4 linked regions of the Saccharomyces cerevisiae S288C genome follow. The gene in region 2 interacts genetically with the main gene of each other region. Each region holds a gene or a part of one and is shown on either strand. Other genes may lie near its edges.

Region 1 (4,702 bases), on a different chromosome or scaffold from region 2:
TGAGGGTGACGGTGAAACTGTCATTGACGGTGATGTTGAGGAATTACTATTGGATCTTGCCGACGATTTTGTTACTAATGTTACAGCTTTTTCTTGTAGATTGGCAAAACACAGAAAATCGGACAATTTGGAGGCAAGAGACATTCAGTTACATTTGGAGAGAAATTGGAATATTAGGATTCCTGGTTATTCCGCAGACGAAATAAGAAGTACAAGAAAATGGAATCCCTCTCAAAATTATAACCAGAAATTGCAGAGTATCACATCAGATAAGGTAGCAGCTGCAAAAAACAATGGAAACAATGTTGCAAGCTTGAATACAAAAAAATAATTATGTTACCCACATTCTCCACTCTTCCACAGAAAAAATTCCTAAAGTTATAGTTCACATTGTTATATATGTATCTATAAAGCGAAATTTTTTAAAATTAATTGATTAATTAATATTTTGTATCTAAAGTGTTCATACTATATTATTTACTTAGATTATACATAATTAAAAAAAAAAAAAACTTTTTTTCCTTGTTTTCATTTTGTTTTTATTATTAAATATTAAAAAAAGTGTCCATAACATCAATGTTTTTTTTTACCTTTGATTAGTTTTCATTGGCGAAACCATAATCCCCGTTCCATTCCCATCATAACTACGCTCTCTTCTGAGTTGATCTTCAAGCTTGAACATCAACTGTCCATTATGATCCTTGTTAATATTTTCTTTGATTGGACTACTAGAAACACTTGAAGTTCCATCTTTTCTTGGTCTTCCTCTTTTTCTTGGAGACCTTTTAATTACCACGTTTTCATACTTTTTACCACCGCTGCAAATCATTCTACTTCTGTGCACAACCAAAGCGTCTTCTCTATTGAATTTCTTACCACAGGGACATGCATACGCCTTTTCTTGGTGCGATTTTTTGTGTCTTATCAAGTCATGATTTCGTACAAATGCCTTATCACATCCAGGGTGATCACAGGAATATGGCCGATCTTCCAAATGTGTTTGAATATGAGATCTGATGTTATACCTTCTCTTGAATGTTTTTGTACATCCAGGAAATAAACATTCAAATGTTTTATCAGGCATTTCCTTCACATATTTATCGATTGAACCTCTGGGCAGTGTTGTGAGTTTTCTTGTGATTTTTGAGGGACTATTTGTGGTATATGTGTTGATTTCCTTAATGTGTGTGCCGAATTGAGGAGATCTTCCTTCGTACTTACTTTGTGACTTAAGAACGGGAGAAGGCGTTTCGGAAATAACAAATCTACTTTCAGGCTCATTTTCCTCATTATCATCTCCTTCATTGTCTGTATTTTTCGTAAGTACATTAGGGTCTAAATCATTGAAAACGCCTTCCCGATGTCGTGCTTGCTGGCTCGGCGGCTTTAGATGTGGTGTCGCAGCATTGATACCCAATGCATTCTCACTGATAGAGCTAAAGTGTAACTGCTTACCTCTTGGTGTATATTGGTCTATATAACTGGAGGAAAGGGATACTTTATTGACTGATGGAGTATTATTTACAGACCCAGGAATTGTAGGCATAATATCCACAGAAGCACTCTTTAAAGACACTGATTTTGTAGGAGAAGGACCTGGTTTTCCAAGAAGTTCAATACCCAGGCCCAAAGGTTTCTCTGAATATTCGCTTTCCTGATCTTCAACATTAATCTTGAAATCTAACCTTAAGTTATTAGGGGTAATGTTAGCAGAGTTGGACGTAGCTGAACTAACTCTACTCTTTGGAGTGAAGGGCGTAATAAATTTGGTTTTTGAACTGAGGTTTTCATTTGGATTCGAGCGAATTTTCTTTGGTGAAATGAGGGAGTCATTGAAACCTTCGTTCAATTCCTGGAAACATAGTGGTCCTACAGTACCACTAGAGTTTTTTCTCTGCAGGCAGTACTTTTGTCTATTGTTTCTCCTAGAAGGTGACCCAGTGAACGAAGTATTAGACATTGGTGGGGAAATCATTGGTGAAAGGCTATTTGCGTATACATCCTCCACATTTTCTGAAGCAGGAGAGATCTTCCTTTTGGGAGATAAAAACTGTGGACCATCAGAGTTCTCTAAGGTAGCCTGTAGTTGTTGTTGCTTGTATTGTGTTTGTTTGAGTTCTAACTCTAACTTCTTATTAGCCTCTTGTTGTGCTCTCAATTGCTCGCGCAACTCTTGTTGTTGCTGTAACAGTAATTCCCCGAGGTTTCTATCGAAGCCTTTATTAATTTCACTTTTGTTTATAGTCGACAATAAATTATCCGCCATGGAAATCTTCTTTTCATCGTGGGGCTTATCACTCATTGTTTTTTGATAAACAGTCATACCACTGTCTTGATTTAATCTATTTTCATTCAACAAGCTAGTTGCATTTAGAGTCACTTCTCTTGAATTATTTTCTAAGTCAAAGTTCATACTTTGCCAATCATTTCCTATTAACTCGGAGAAAGTAGAAACCTTGACAGATTTTTCATCAGAAAGTGGTCCCAGCGGAAGGTTTAAGTCATTTATTTCATTCATTATAACTTCGTTGGTTTCACCATAGTTTAGGTTCAATATATTGCCTAAATCATCTGTTGCTAGTGTTTTATATTCGCCTTCTATTGCATAACTCGAAGGGTCACTGCCTCTAGCATTTGAGTAATAAGAGTTGGTTTGTAGGTCAAAATTTAGGCTTTGTACTTTTGAGGCATCAAACCAAGAGTTTGATGTATCCATCTTTTTCGAAAAAACAATGACGTTAATATTTTATTTGATTGCGCTTTAATTATATCGCAGATGTTAAACACGTTCTCAGGATCTATTTACCTAGCTCCAAGAACGAGTTATATGGTGGTATCTATATTGTCGTTCTCAAATCTTTCTTCCAACGATGCCTTTTTGTCTTCCGTGCCAATACATAAATAGTGAATAAAATTGCAGACGATCCTCTATAGTACTCAATCATTGTTTATAGAGCAGATCTATAGGGAGAAAGAAAGATAATTAGTCGCTAATGGTAGGTATTGTTATTGTTTACCTTTTTCCTAAACAGGTTAAAGTACGAAAGTGAAAATTTCATCCTCTCTACTTGCCCGGATTGGGATTCAGACCAAGATATTTCCAACAATGCTGCTATGAATTGGAACAGAGATGTTCTAATGAATATTTAACAAGGTGTGAGCGGAGTGTACCACTCCTATCGGCTTTCAGATAATCATACTACCTTTCAGAATATCTAACAATAACACTCCGATATTTGATTCGCTCTCCTTTAAGACAGAAATAACATTGGCCCTAGAATCCAATGCCGTAAATATCTACTTGACACCATTTAATGAAAGAACTGTCTGACTGCCGAAGTTTTATAAGTAGTTTGACTATGTTTCATAAGTTAGGCCACTAGACAGCATGTGAAAACGGTGATGATAGTAAAAAAATATCGTTTGGGTTTTGGCTACCCGGAGGTCGTTTGCAAAAGAAAGTGTATGCAAATCTACAAAACAATAGATGTCGTTGTTGAGATAACAGATTGGCACAAAATTACTAAATTGTTGTGGTACGCAGCTATAGTTTGTACGAAAGTAGTAGCAGAAATTAACAGATACAGATCTGCAATTTGGCATAATGTACACCAATTATTCACTTACAAGCAGTGACGCAATGCCCCGAACTTACTTGGTCGGCACAGCCTCACCAGAAATGTCTAAGAAAAAGCGCCAGTCTGCAAATTGTGACAAGCCAACGAGGAGGGTGATCCACATCATCGATACTAATGAGCACTCAGAAGTCGACTTGAAAAATGAACTGCCAATAACATGCACGAATGAAGACGGTGAGATGACATCAAGCTCATGGACTTCACAAACCGCTAATGATTTTCTCAAACTGGCATACGTAAACGCGAAATTAGACCCGTCTTTGCCATCTCAATATTTCAAACAAGATATCATAAATGTTTTACAAAGCTTGGAGATTCCTGGATGGTCTGTGCCCGGCTCTAAAGAATCCTCGTTGAATAAGAATTTATTAACTTTGACACAAATCAAGGGGGCCCTTACAAATGTTATTTATAAGATTCACTATCCAAACTTACCCCCTTTACTGATGAGAATTTTTGGTGATAGCATAGATTCTGTAATTGATAGAGAGTATGAATTAAAGGTTATTGCGAGATTATCATTTTATGATTTAGGACCCAAACTAGAAGGGTTTTTTGAAAATGGCAGATTTGAAAAATACATTGAGGGTTCGAGGACATCTACTCAAGCCGACTTTATAGATCGGGATACTTCAATAAAAATTGCTAAAAAATTGAAAGAGTTGCATTGTACTGTTCCATTAACGCATAAAGAAATAACGGATCAACCGTCATGCTGGACAACCTTTGATCAGTGGATCAAATTAATAGACTCGCATAAAGAGTGGGTTTCCAATAATGTAAATATAAGTGAAAATTTACGCTGTTCAAGTTGGAATTTTTTTTTAAAGAGTTTCAAAAATTATAAGCGTTGGTTGTATAATGATTCTGCTTTTACCTCAAAATTATTAAGAGAGGATGATAAAGATAGTATGATAAATTCTGGGCTAAAAATGGTATTTTGCCATAACGACTTACAGCATGGTAATTTACTTTTTAAAAGTAAGGGTAAGGATGACATCTCAGTGGGCGATTTAACAATTATTGACTTTGAGTACGCAGGCCCTAACCCCGTTGTATTTGAT
Region 2 (3,465 bases):
TTTCTATCCGTAAAACTTGCCATTAGTGGGGACTGAACCGAGATATGTCTCATAATCAGACTAACTATATCTGAATTGGCTCGTTTTAATTCACGTTGTTCGTATTCACTATTCTTCATTCTAATATCATCTTTGTTTGCGATATCGCCAAACGTTTGGAAGAAGACTAGGGGCACAAGGGCGGAGTAACGTAACAATTCGCCATTATGCGCATACATTGATTGGTACATTAAATCATGGAAAAATAGCCAATCTGAAATGTTTGCTGGCTTTCTTATACCATTGTCGGAATATTTTACGTAGGGAAATATATTAAAACAGCCTTGCAATATCCTGTCAGAGTTACCATTAAGCTCTACTTGGTTTAGCAATTCATAAAACTGCTCCTTTATATCACGATGTGGATCCTTTCTAAACAATTGGTTCACGATTTTAAACCATGATATGGGGGAGTCCTTGTTGGATGACGCCCACGTATTTTTTGCACAAGCAGGTTTATCTGATGCAGAGGAATCTCTTGAATCAACATTCGAGGCCAAGAATTGTAAATTGTTTATACAATTCCTTACGTCACCTTGAGCCAAATCAATTAAGTCATTGATTGCTTTTATAGGAATATTCATGTTTTCTTTATGGCAGATAAGGTTCAATCGCTCTAGTAGGGTAGTATCGGAAGGTCTTTTCACAGCAATAATTTCACAGAATGGTTTCAGCTTTTCCAAAGAAGGAGCATATAGATTATTGCAAATACAAATAATAGGTCGCGTAAGCAATTTAGACCTTTTCTTTTTGCGCTTTTTGTCCTTTTTATCTGGTTGACCGTATAATAGTTTATTAGTGGCTTTAATATCGCTTTGCATAATGTCAACTAAAATTCTAATAAATCCACTCTCAATACTTCCATCAATCTCATCCGCCACTAAGCACACAGGATTTGTATCGAAAGTATGATTGAATAAAAGATTATATATTTTCTCTTTTACCATAGGTCCAGCCCTTTCATCACTTGCATTGATTTCTGAGACAGAAAACCCTGATTGTTTGGCAATAACGTGAGCTACTGAGGTTTTGCCTATTCCTGGTGGCCCGTGCAGTAGTAAAATTTTCTTTGGTGGCCTTTTCAATGGATCGAGTTCCATATCACTGACCTCTTTTTCGGTTGGCAATTTGGGTAATTGCTCTTTAAACACAGCCGGCGTCCATTGTCTCAACCAACCTAACATTCTCCTGTTTGTCTTTTCATTACCAACCAAATCTAGAAATTTTTTAGGACGCCATTTCTCTACCCAGAGTGTGTCGCTACCTATCTTGCCAGTTATAGGTGAAGTCTTTTGTGCGTTAGTGCGGTCATCGCCAGATGCCTCAATTTTGTCTAACAAATAGTTTATATTGATGCCGTACGTGTCGTCTGATCTCCAAACAGTATCTGGGTTAGTGTATAGACTAATATTCCCGGTTGCTAACTTCGCAGGCTTCTTCTTTAATTGAACCGTTTCGCCAGTACTTGATACAAACGCGTGAATATCTTCCTCATTAATACCAATTGCATTATTACCAGGGGCTTGTTCTATATCACCAGTATCAAAAAGGGAACTTCTCCCTAGTGAACCAATGTATGGTGCGGTATCAACCATGATCCCTGACCTTACATCCACCTTTTGGGTCAAATAGTGTACACATTAGGAATAAAATATATGAAATCATGTTTATTTACGTGTTAGATGTTCCGTACAACGCGACTGGCTAGTTCGTTTTTTCCACATTTTTTTTTTCAACGTTGATCAACAATAAAATGGTACATCTTCCTTTGTTTGTGTCTTAAGTGTCCTTTCCTGGTATATCGCTTGACCAGCGCCTGTAGCATCAAACCAAACCTTCATCGCCCTAAAACACAATGGTTACAGTATGTTGTTGCTTTTATTTACTTTTTCTTTTTTTGACATTCATTGTGACAATATTCACATTCTTCAGATAGTTCTGTCTATATGAAGCAAAAATGATATATCAATAAGTTTACTAACAAACACAAGTGGTATTACTATGACTTCACTTTAAATAGCAACAAGAAAAGGAATTTTTAGAATCCTACCCTCAAAACTGTCCTCCAGATGCCTTGCCTGGTACTCCAGGAAATTTAGACAGCGCTCAAGAGAAGGCATTGGCAGAACTAAGAAAACTTTTGGAAGACGCTGGTTTCATTGAACGTTTAGACGATTCAACTTTACTACGTTTTTTGAGAGCCAGAAAATTTGATGTTCAATTGGCTAAAGAAATGTTTGAAAACTGCGAAAAATGGAGGAAGGATTATGGTACCGACACTATCTTGCAAGATTTTCATTATGATGAAAAACCATTGATTGCCAAATTCTACCCACAATATTATCATAAAACCGATAAAGATGGCCGCCCAGTATATTTTGAAGAATTAGGTGCTGTTAACTTACATGAAATGAACAAGGTTACCTCTGAAGAGAGGATGTTGAAAAACTTGGTTTGGGAATACGAATCTGTCGTTCAATACAGATTACCTGCCTGTTCAAGAGCTGCTGGTCACCTAGTGGAAACTTCATGTACAATTATGGATTTGAAAGGTATCTCCATATCTAGTGCATACAGTGTTATGTCATATGTTAGGGAAGCCTCCTACATAAGTCAAAACTATTACCCCGAACGTATGGGTAAATTTTACATCATCAACGCGCCATTCGGTTTCTCTACCGCATTTAGGCTATTTAAACCTTTCTTGGATCCAGTCACTGTTTCAAAGATTTTTATCTTGGGTTCTTCTTACCAGAAGGAATTATTAAAGCAAATTCCAGCTGAAAACTTACCAGTCAAATTTGGCGGTAAGTCTGAAGTTGATGAATCCAAGGGTGGGTTATACCTATCCGATATCGGTCCATGGAGGGATCCAAAGTATATTGGACCGGAAGGTGAAGCTCCGGAAGCCTTTTCGATGAAATGATATTATTTTTAAAGACATTTTTTTTTCGAGAGAGAAAAGAGGAGTTCTAAGTAACGATATTTTACAACTGAGATAAGTACAAGTATGCTTATTTACTCTATTCTACTTTTTTGAATAGGCATAGTTCACACTTTTATCTCCTTAGTTTGTACTACTCTTTTTTTATTTTTTTTTTTTCTTCCACTCAGCTATTAGATTATTTATTATTTTATTATCTGTGGTATCATTTTCTACAGCCATACCTTGATTTTAGTTTATTTTGTTGGCAGTTATATACATTTATCTTATAGAATACATATGCACGTATTAAACAATAAAAAGAACATAAGCAAAAATGAAACCTCGCTACAATAAAACTTTATTACGCATTGCAGTGCGCCGTAAAGAGTATTCATTAGAAGTACAATGGTAGCCCTATTTGGTTGCAACATGTTTTAGCAAAGAGATTAGTAGGCTAGGATATCAAGTCCATGCCCCTTTATCACATACTGTAATGATAG
Region 3 (4,670 bases), on a different chromosome or scaffold from region 2:
TTCTGCTGTTGTTCTTGTGGAAAGTTGATTAATGATTTTCTTACCAACTCTATGTAGTTTTTGCAAAGTCGTGTATGTGTCATAAGGTCAACCCAAAAGTCCAGATAGTTGATGGCATATGGGAATTGTGAAAGAAATGTATAAAAAGTCCAGAGATCAACTGGCTGCGATGTCCTCTGTATTAACACTTCATACAATGTTGGCAATCGTTCACGCTGGATCATCTCGAAATTTTGCATACTGCTCACTTTGCTGAGCTCTTCCTTCATGATGAATGGGACGCTCTTGAACTTTCTTTTTGGCAGAAATTGTTAGAGGTCGTTGTGCACAATGAATTTCCCGTATGTGTTTTATTGATATTTTCGTTTTGCCCGCATTCTCGAAACACGAATATTTTTCCTCGAATGGCGGCGGGCGGCGAAGTTACATAACCAGCATTGCTCTGTATTAATGTATGCTGGGTTTTCTTTAAAGTGACCCAAGAGTTTGACACAACGTTGAAGCGTATCGCCAATTTTTTTTGGATTATATATACGTATTAATGTCTTTTTATCGTATTTATGCATCGTAGCATCCAATGGTGCAAGTAGTGAAGAAATTGAGCAAATTCTCCTGCACCAAGTTGAGAACAGTTTCTGGATATCTTGACGAGATTTCATTCGAAACTTTGGTCAGACTCATATCTTGAATAACCACACTTAAACAATCAAGTAAACTTATGGAAAATTCCGTATACCAACGGTGGTTCCAGCAGCATATCTTCACGCAAAGGTCGATAATGCTATTGTCTAGCTCTCTTATGCGTGAGCTTACTATTTCAGGGACCATGTCATGCGAATTAGGTGAGTTTATAAAATTTTTGACCCGTTGGCGTTCGTTTATACAATATTCCAGCAGTTTCCTCGCGCACCTTGATGAAAATCTCTGCGATAAACCGTTCTGGAAGGCCTTGGCGGCCTCAGGGAAATGGCCCAGTCGACGTGCACAAAGGCCAAATAACTCCCATTCGAAAGTCAACTTATTGTGGTTGTTATTCTGTGCATCCATGTACAGTTGTTCGGTTTGCCATAATGTATACATCTTCAGGTCTTCATATAAAAGCATGAAGAGGTTGTCTAACCATCGTTCACACAGCCGTTTAGCCCTCAGAGGCTGTTCTTCTTGTTTGTTAACGTCCTTTGGTAACGAAGATGATGATTTTTGGTACTCTTCTTCCATAACGAAAATGTTTGATCTGTACTTTAACAGATTTTCCCAGCCGGTGATCTGCACAATTTCTGTCAATAATCGGTATGCCAATTGGAAAGTAGATTTCAAGTTCGACGCAGCTAAATTGACCAGCATTGGATCCGCAGAGCGGTGTTCATTCTGAACGTCTTGTGGATTCAACGACGTCACTTCATCCAGTACAACGTCAATTGGCAATGGCAAATGAAGACTATTATTCGAAGGCAACGGAGCTACTCTTTTCAGTACGTATTTTTCCTTTAATGGAGACATAGGGCATGAATTCAGTATCAGTAAGGCATTTTCAATATCATTTAGCTTTACATACACCTTGGATAAAAGATACCAAGGTCTAAATTCACTGGGAGAACAATTGACTGCCTCTTGCGCTATGTTTTGCGCCAAGCTGTAATCCTGCCTTTTGTCTATCAAAAATTGCGCTTGTAAGCACAGTAATTCAGATTTATAATCCATGCGGTTATTAGTGTTGTTTATTATTTTATCCTGCGAAAGCATATCGTATGTGAGCTTTATTGCGTCTAATTCTTGATCACACACCAAAAAGATCTTGATTAGTATTATGATCGCCTCAGGGTTGTCGGTAGCCAGATTCTTCAACATTATTTCCGCCCTGCTAACATTACGAGTCAGCTTAACTATCTCAACGAGTGTTTCTACCAAATAGTTATTAGTGTTCGTCACATTGGTAATATAATACGGAGCTCCCAATAATGGGCCCTTATGGTAAACTATAGGGAACAGATCAATGAACATTTCTGGTACATCGTCGATTTGTCCTGCAGTAAACGGGTTCAAAATCAAGGTTTCCACTAAATTTTGTAATTCTCCCTCTTCAGCGTTTTCCTTCATTAACATGATTGACCGTACTACGCCACTTACGAACGTTTCAGCCCAAATTAAGTCATAATCCGCACACATCTCTATATTTTGACTTTCACCGTTGCAATCCACTATAAAGTTCTGAATCGATCCTGGAATATGAACGACGACATTTATGTCGCATCTCCTGAACGCATTCCAAGTGGAAAATGAAATTCGAGCAACATTGAAGGTTTTCTTCCTGCCAAACCAAACTTGGGGTTTCTCGCTGATGACCTCTGAAATCTCCTTCAAAAAAATTGCGATTGAAGTTGGACCGGATGTATCGACACCCATTGAGTAAAAAAATGTCCCTACTTCGTCCTTCAGTTTATCAAGTGGATGGAGCTCAGCGACCATCGGGGCTCCATCATTGGCATTTCTGCTGCTACTGTATATAGATGCATTTGTATAATTTGTGGTAACGGCGGTGTCACTAGCATCGCCATTGGTTGCCATGGAAGCGGCAGAGTCATCGGCTACAACGGCTGCAGGGGACTGAATAATGGCCGCACCATTTCTACTCGTACTGTTTATGGCATTTGTGTTACTTGAAGTGGGCAAATACTTTGTTAGTGTGACCAAGTCTGCCGGCCCTAAGTCTTGAAACTGCGGTAACCGAATTCTTCTCTCATGTAAAGCATAACCAATAAAATCTTCTTTTACCTCTGGTATAGAATTCTGCGTAATCATCTGAGGGAAGCTCTTCTTCCTTAGTTCTTTATTTTTTTGCGCTCACTCCCTTCTCAAACACTTCAACTTAATAACAGCACTATTTATGGAAAAAAAATCTTAAAATAATTAAAACGCCATTGCCTCGAGGCTAAGCTTACGCCCTCTTGCTATATTTGCATACGTTTTTCAGATCCTTCTTCTATTCCTGGCTCAGGTACCAGGTACCGAAAAAGGTGAAGAAAAAAGGACTTGGAATGTGTTCACGTGACGCTATCGACACCCGCATGACAGAATCTTAAGGCAATGCTCGCAACTTTCTTCCAAGATGCGTGAAAATGCTTATAAGTCTTACTAAGCTATCAAGACATACTGAATTTGGGTCACTACGTCTCATTTATCGAACACTGATGAAAAGATGGTAGGCCTGATACTTGGCCCAAATGTACGCCAGTCAACTTTGCATTGGAGGGTAATAGAAGCAAGGATTCTGTTACCCTGACTATGTTACCCTGATTGTATTACCCGACCAAGAGAACCACGTAGAACGTCATGGAACAATTCCTGGAAATAATCGATCACCATCGTTGCCTCTTTCATGAACGGGCGCCCCTTGACGGTGGTGGTATATATTAGGTAGCTGGAAAGGCGCCTGTCGCTTAACCAATAATAGTTTCATGTGTTAGGGAAGGTTGAATCTACGCTTCCATAACTGTAAAAGCTAATAAGCTAGAAAACAAAAAAGTTAACGAGCAAAATCGTAAAGAAAAATGTCTGACTGGGATACAAATACTATTATTGGTAGCAGAGCAAGAGCTGGTGGTTCTGGCCCAAGGGCCAACGTTGCCAGATCTCAAGGCCAAATTAATGCTGCAAGAAGACAGGGGTTGGTTGTTTCCGTTGACAAGAAGTACGGATCAACCAATACGAGGGGTGACAACGAGGGTCAGAGGTTGACCAAGGTCGACCGTGAGACAGATATTGTCAAACCCAAGAAATTGGATCCAAATGTCGGTAGGGCCATCTCGCGTGCCAGAACAGACAAGAAAATGTCGCAGAAGGATTTGGCAACCAAAATTAACGAAAAGCCAACCGTGGTAAACGATTATGAAGCCGCTAGAGCTATTCCAAACCAACAAGTTTTGTCTAAGTTGGAAAGAGCCTTAGGCGTTAAATTGAGAGGTAACAACATCGGTTCGCCTTTGGGAGCTCCAAAGAAGAAATGAAGAGGTCTTCTTTCATTTGTTCCTTTCTTTTCGCACTGCATGTCATCAATGAAGCATTCTTAATAATGTACATTATTCTATCATGATCGTTTTATGGTTTTTTTCGTTTATTTTATCATTTTTTTTTTTTTTTAGCTTTTTTTCCTCTATAGAAAGTGAAGTACACACGTATATATTATGATTCAGGATCTTTATTTGGTCTCAATTTTAATATTTTTTTGCAAGGACTCGATTAATCTATCTTTTTCTATCCACCTATTTTCAAGCCACTTTTCTAAACTCTCATCATTGTATGCGAGTAATGGTTGAATTTGATGCTTTTTTACATTTACCATCACAACAATGGGGTCCTTATCCTTTATGTTGTTTTCAGACTCCATTTCTGGTTGAATCATCTCAAAGATTGTCGGAGATATTTGCTCTAATTGATAACCTTTATGAAGTCTCAAATCTCCGTTGGTATGATCATGCCCACTATCAGTATATTTGACTCGGTAATAAATTATGGTGACATCATATATGTATGGATTGATTCGTACCACCTTGGGCTTGCCGCTGCTGATTTCTTCCTTTTTTGTAAGTAAGTATGAATTATCTACGATCATGGGCGGCGTCGTCTTATCGGATACCTTGGAAGACTCCATTTTCATGCTCTTGTGAACTAAT
Region 4 (4,050 bases), 460 kb from region 2:
CGTTACCAACAATAACTGACAAAGAAGCTGCCTCATTCAACTATCAATTTTTGAGTCAATTGATTGAAAATAATTCGCCAATTGTGTGTGCTCAATCTAATATCTCCGCTGTAGTTGATTCAGTCATACAAGCCTTGAATGAGAGAAGTTTGACCGAAAGGGAAGGCCAAACGGTGATAAGTTCAGTTAAAAAGTTGTTGGGATTTTTGCCTTCTAGTGATGCTATGGCAATTTTCAATAGATATCCAGCTGATATTATGGAGAAAGTACATAAATGGTTTGCATAAAGACGTTTAATAGAAAGAAGAACAATGTTAAGTAGTTCTATAAGGAATATTAAATGAATATTGTCTTTTTTGATGATTTAAAAACATATAATGTAACAATAGTGTTCTTTTTAATTTACCGGTGGTAATAGCGAATAGAATCTTATAAAACTTACATAGAAAAAAAATATATACTATACTTACAACTTTTCATTTTTTTCGTAAAAACTACCCCACAATGAAATAAGATACCATACCTTATCGAGTTATTATGTATGTGTCGAAGCTTTTTAAACCAAAGCAAAACCGACACCAGCGGCAATGGATAAGGAAATGATGGAGGTAAAGACCACTTGTGCTAAGTTAGCTTTAACGTTGGTGGCAGCATTCTTCTTGCTAGAAGATGAAGATGAAGCTGAAGAAGAAGAAGAAGAACTGGAAGAACCAGAAGAGCCGGAGTTAGACTTGGAAGAAGACCCCGAAGCGTTAGAAGAGGCAGTACTGGATTCAGTTCCGGAACCCAAATCAACACTACCTGATGCAGAGTTGGTACCCATACTACCAATCTCTTTCAAAGCGGAGGAGCAACTAGCTTGCGTGGTGGCAGTTTGTAGAGTGGCAGAACCGCTGAAGCTACAGTCAGATTTGCTACCACCACTCTTCTCGTAGTACAAATTCATAACGAAAGATAGCTGTTCCTTTGGTGTACAGAAAGAGTAAGCACCATACTTACCGGCGGTACCGTTTGCTGAAATACCGCTACAGTCGACTTCATTACAGATCCAGTTAAATAAGGTTTCGTAATCATCAGAATCAACGTCATCGGAAACAACACAACTATTGGCTGCATTCATACATGAACACAAGCCTCCGTTTGGAGTTGGTGGTAATTCTGTTGCAGCGGACCAGTACTTACCAGTAGCTGGACAAGCAACATCACTTGTTGTTGCACTGTAAGACTTTGTGTTGGCGGAAGTTGGTGATATTTTGTTGATTTCAGAAGAATAGTTGTTGAAGTCATCCAAAGTTTTAACATCATTACCATCGATGCTAACTAAACCGTATTTGTTAGTCTCTTCGAAGTACATGTATACGATACCACCAGACCAGACATCTGTCATATTAGAACCGTACAAGGCTTCAACCTCAGTAAATAGTCTTGGTGTTACTTCGTTACAACCGTATTCAGAGAAGAAAACAGGAATAGATAAGTTTTTGAATTCTGCAGTTCTATCAGCATAACCAGAAGTTTTGAAGTCAGATTTACCACACCATTCATACATATTAATACCGTAAAAATCAGCCTTAACATCATCATCACCACAAGCGAAATAATCAGTCATCTTAACTCTGGTATCTTCGTCATCATTGGAAGAGTAGCCAACTGGAATTTTTCTGTAGTTCTTGTCGCTGATGTATTGTCTGACGTCTCTAATAGCTGCCTTCACGAAAGCAGATGCATCTGTGTTGGTGTAATTGTTAGTAACTTCATTACCGGCGAAGAAACCCAAAACGTTGGTGTAATTAGCAAAAGTGTCAACAACGGTTTTGTAGCTGTTGAACAAGTCAACAGTCCAAGTTGGATCGTCTCTATTGATAGAGGTGGCTGGAGCTGCTAAATCAGCGATGACATAGATGTCAGCATCATTCAAAGCCTTCATACATTCGGAGTGATCTAGAGTGGTATTGATAGCGTAGACACGGATAACATTTGTGTTCAATTTTTTGAGGTATGGAATATCTCTGGAACAACTCTCATAATTGGCCAAAGGATCGTTGACAGTAGATCCGCTAGTTTCATTAGCGGTATCAGCCTGATAAGCAACACCTCTTATGTAGAACTGACTACCGTTGTTGGAGTAGAAAAACTTATTACCAACAACTTCAATCGCTGGAACATCGTCCGCAGTTGCGACGCCAGCAAAAAAAGCAGCAGCGGTTGCTAACTTTGAAAGGGATTTAAACAACATTGTTGAGATTTAGCTGTGTTTGTTGTTTTTGTTTTATCAGACTTTAAAAATAAAAACTGATTTTGAAATAGCTTAATAAAACGACACAACTATTTATGGATATCTAATTTGTTCGAGGAAAACAACCACGACTTTTCCTCTTAAATAAAAAAATCCGTGTCAACAGTAGTAGAGGGAAAAGTTTTTCAAACCTCGAGGATTATCGGGTATTTTACTAATAAACCGCGCAGGCTGTATGAGGAATACCAAAAGTAGAAATTTCTCATTATTTTCCCGACTTTTCTTTTTCCCATCTCCACGTTTGCGGCACGAAAACTCAGTGTAAAATAAGAAGCAAACAAAACGCGAGCCGCGAAAATATATCGAACTAAAAGTACGCAAAAGAATAGCCAGGGCTGGCCTGTGAATTCATAAAAAGTCTGAGCCGGCTATGATAGGCACCAGCTCGCTTTATCAGCTACTCAAAATAACTTTTTTTTTTTATCCCTATGCGACAGTCCTAAAGGTAGGTAAAGTTGGTGTTGTAGTCAGGATTGTCGATGGAGCATTTGGACCAGTATCGTTGTTGTTTTGGTTGTTAGGTTGGAAGATTCCTTCGAAAAGGGTGCCTTCCAGCAATTCTTGCGGACTAGATACGAAATCACCAGCAAAGAATGGCGCGATGAGCATAAAAAGGAGCACACCTAGCATCACAAAATATAGAGAGAAATATTTTGAAACTATCCTACTTCTTAATGCTCTCTGCTTTCGAGTCAAAATTCTTTTATGCGCGATAATACTTCTTGGATTCATCCAAAATAGCACCATTGTATGCCAGTAATCGATAAATGGTAACAATATTATGGGCGTTTGTATAAATAAGAGGAAGTGACCAAGAAAGAAATCTGCTGCAAAATAACTAGATTCCATAATCTTCACGAAGTATTCTCGTATGGGCTGTAAAATGATAGACCAGCCCATGCCCGTATTGTACCATTTACCATTCCACCATGCCAAATGTGCCTTATTGTTTTTATACTCCCTTGTCAAGAATATCGTCGTAAAGACCTTGAAAAGAATCAGATGCATATTGATGCACGTAATAAGCAGTATCAATGTACGGGTAAAGTTCCAACCTTGTAAGAACCACATCAGTTCGAAATCTAAAAGATAGACCAAAACCGAGAAAGTGTGTGCAATAAACGCAATCACGGCACCTGCGTCTTTACAACAATATGACAATCCAGGAACCACAAAAAGTGAAACCCAAAATAATAGAAAAAGCACTATTGAGTTAAGAAAGATTGGCAAAAAAGTTACGAGCAACAAACGGAAAACAGCGCTAGTTGGTGTTGAGTCAGAGACCCCTGTTTGTGCATTAATGAAAGAAAAAGCGGTGAAGTTGAAGAGGAACACACAGAAAGGTAGAAATAGTTCTGCAAAGAAGACGTTCCAAAACCTCGCTTTCTTTGAATCATGGCCTGAATCTTCGGAAATATCATCTACAGTTTTACTTTTATAGCCCGTAAATCTTGATCGAGAACTCTTGACAAAGTTTGCCCACGATTCTTTTTGATATTTCGTGTTACCTGAGAATAACCAGTGGATAAAGGTTTTATAATCAATGAAGAAATCCATGAATGCGAACTGATGTGGATTGAAAATAAAAGGTGCGAAGCACATCGAAATGACTGTAATCCAAAACCATAATAAGGCGGGTTGCCACATGGAAATAATCGCGAATAATAACATGAAGAACACTTGGAAACCAGAATATATCGATATATTAACAAATCTGGAATAGAGCGTAAAAAAATCGAGGCGTGTTATTGCAA

The links.
Region 1: mutations in SEC14 (region 2) and SWI5 together harm fitness more than expected from each alone (negative genetic interaction), as found in Saccharomyces cerevisiae (one large-scale study listed by BioGRID).
Region 3: mutations in SEC14 (region 2) and BUD7 are lethal when combined (synthetic lethality), as found in Saccharomyces cerevisiae (2 studies listed by BioGRID, with this or other methods).
Region 4: mutations in SEC14 (region 2) and GAS1 together harm fitness more than expected from each alone (negative genetic interaction), as found in Saccharomyces cerevisiae (5 studies listed by BioGRID, with this or other methods).

Annotation. Positions count from the first base shown.
Region 1 is NC_001136.10:748,027-752,728, forward strand, and holds SWI5 (DNA-binding transcription factor SWI5), read right to left. Parts: upstream 2,717-4,702; coding exon 587-2,716; downstream 1-586. Other genes in the region: TAF12 (Taf12p), read left to right, coding at 1-331; bifunctional choline kinase/ethanolamine kinase EKI1, read left to right, coding at 3,605-4,702. UniProt on the Saccharomyces cerevisiae protein: Determines the mother-cell-specific transcription of the HO endonuclease gene that is responsible for the initiation of mating-type switching in yeast. Recognizes a specific sequence in the promoter of the HO gene.
Region 2 is NC_001145.3:423,095-426,559, forward strand, and holds SEC14 (phosphatidylinositol/phosphatidylcholine transfer protein SEC14), read left to right. Parts: upstream 1-1,894; coding exon 1,895-1,903; intron 1,904-2,059; coding exon 2,060-2,965; downstream 2,966-3,465. Other genes in the region: CTF18 (Ctf18p), read right to left, coding at 1-1,634. UniProt on the Saccharomyces cerevisiae protein: Required for transport of secretory proteins from the Golgi complex. Catalyzes the transfer of phosphatidylinositol (PI) and phosphatidylcholine (PC) between membranes in vitro. Essential for viability and secretion.
Region 3 is NC_001147.6:876,564-881,233, reverse strand, and holds BUD7 (exomer complex subunit), read right to left. Parts: upstream 2,800-4,670; coding exon 559-2,799; downstream 1-558. Other genes in the region: RAX1 (Rax1p), read right to left, coding at 1-269; MBF1 (multiprotein-bridging factor 1), read left to right, coding at 3,549-4,004; MUM3 (Mum3p), read right to left, coding at 4,196-4,670. UniProt on the Saccharomyces cerevisiae protein: Member of the CHS5-ARF1P-binding proteins (CHAPS) which mediates export of specific cargo proteins, including chitin synthase CHS3. May be involved in positioning the proximal bud pole signal.
Region 4 is NC_001145.3:885,189-889,238, reverse strand, and holds GAS1 (1,3-beta-glucanosyltransferase GAS1), read right to left. Parts: upstream 2,237-4,050; coding exon 557-2,236; downstream 1-556. Other genes in the region: importin PSE1, read left to right, coding at 1-287; FKS3 (putative 1,3-beta-D-glucan synthase), read right to left, coding at 2,723-4,050.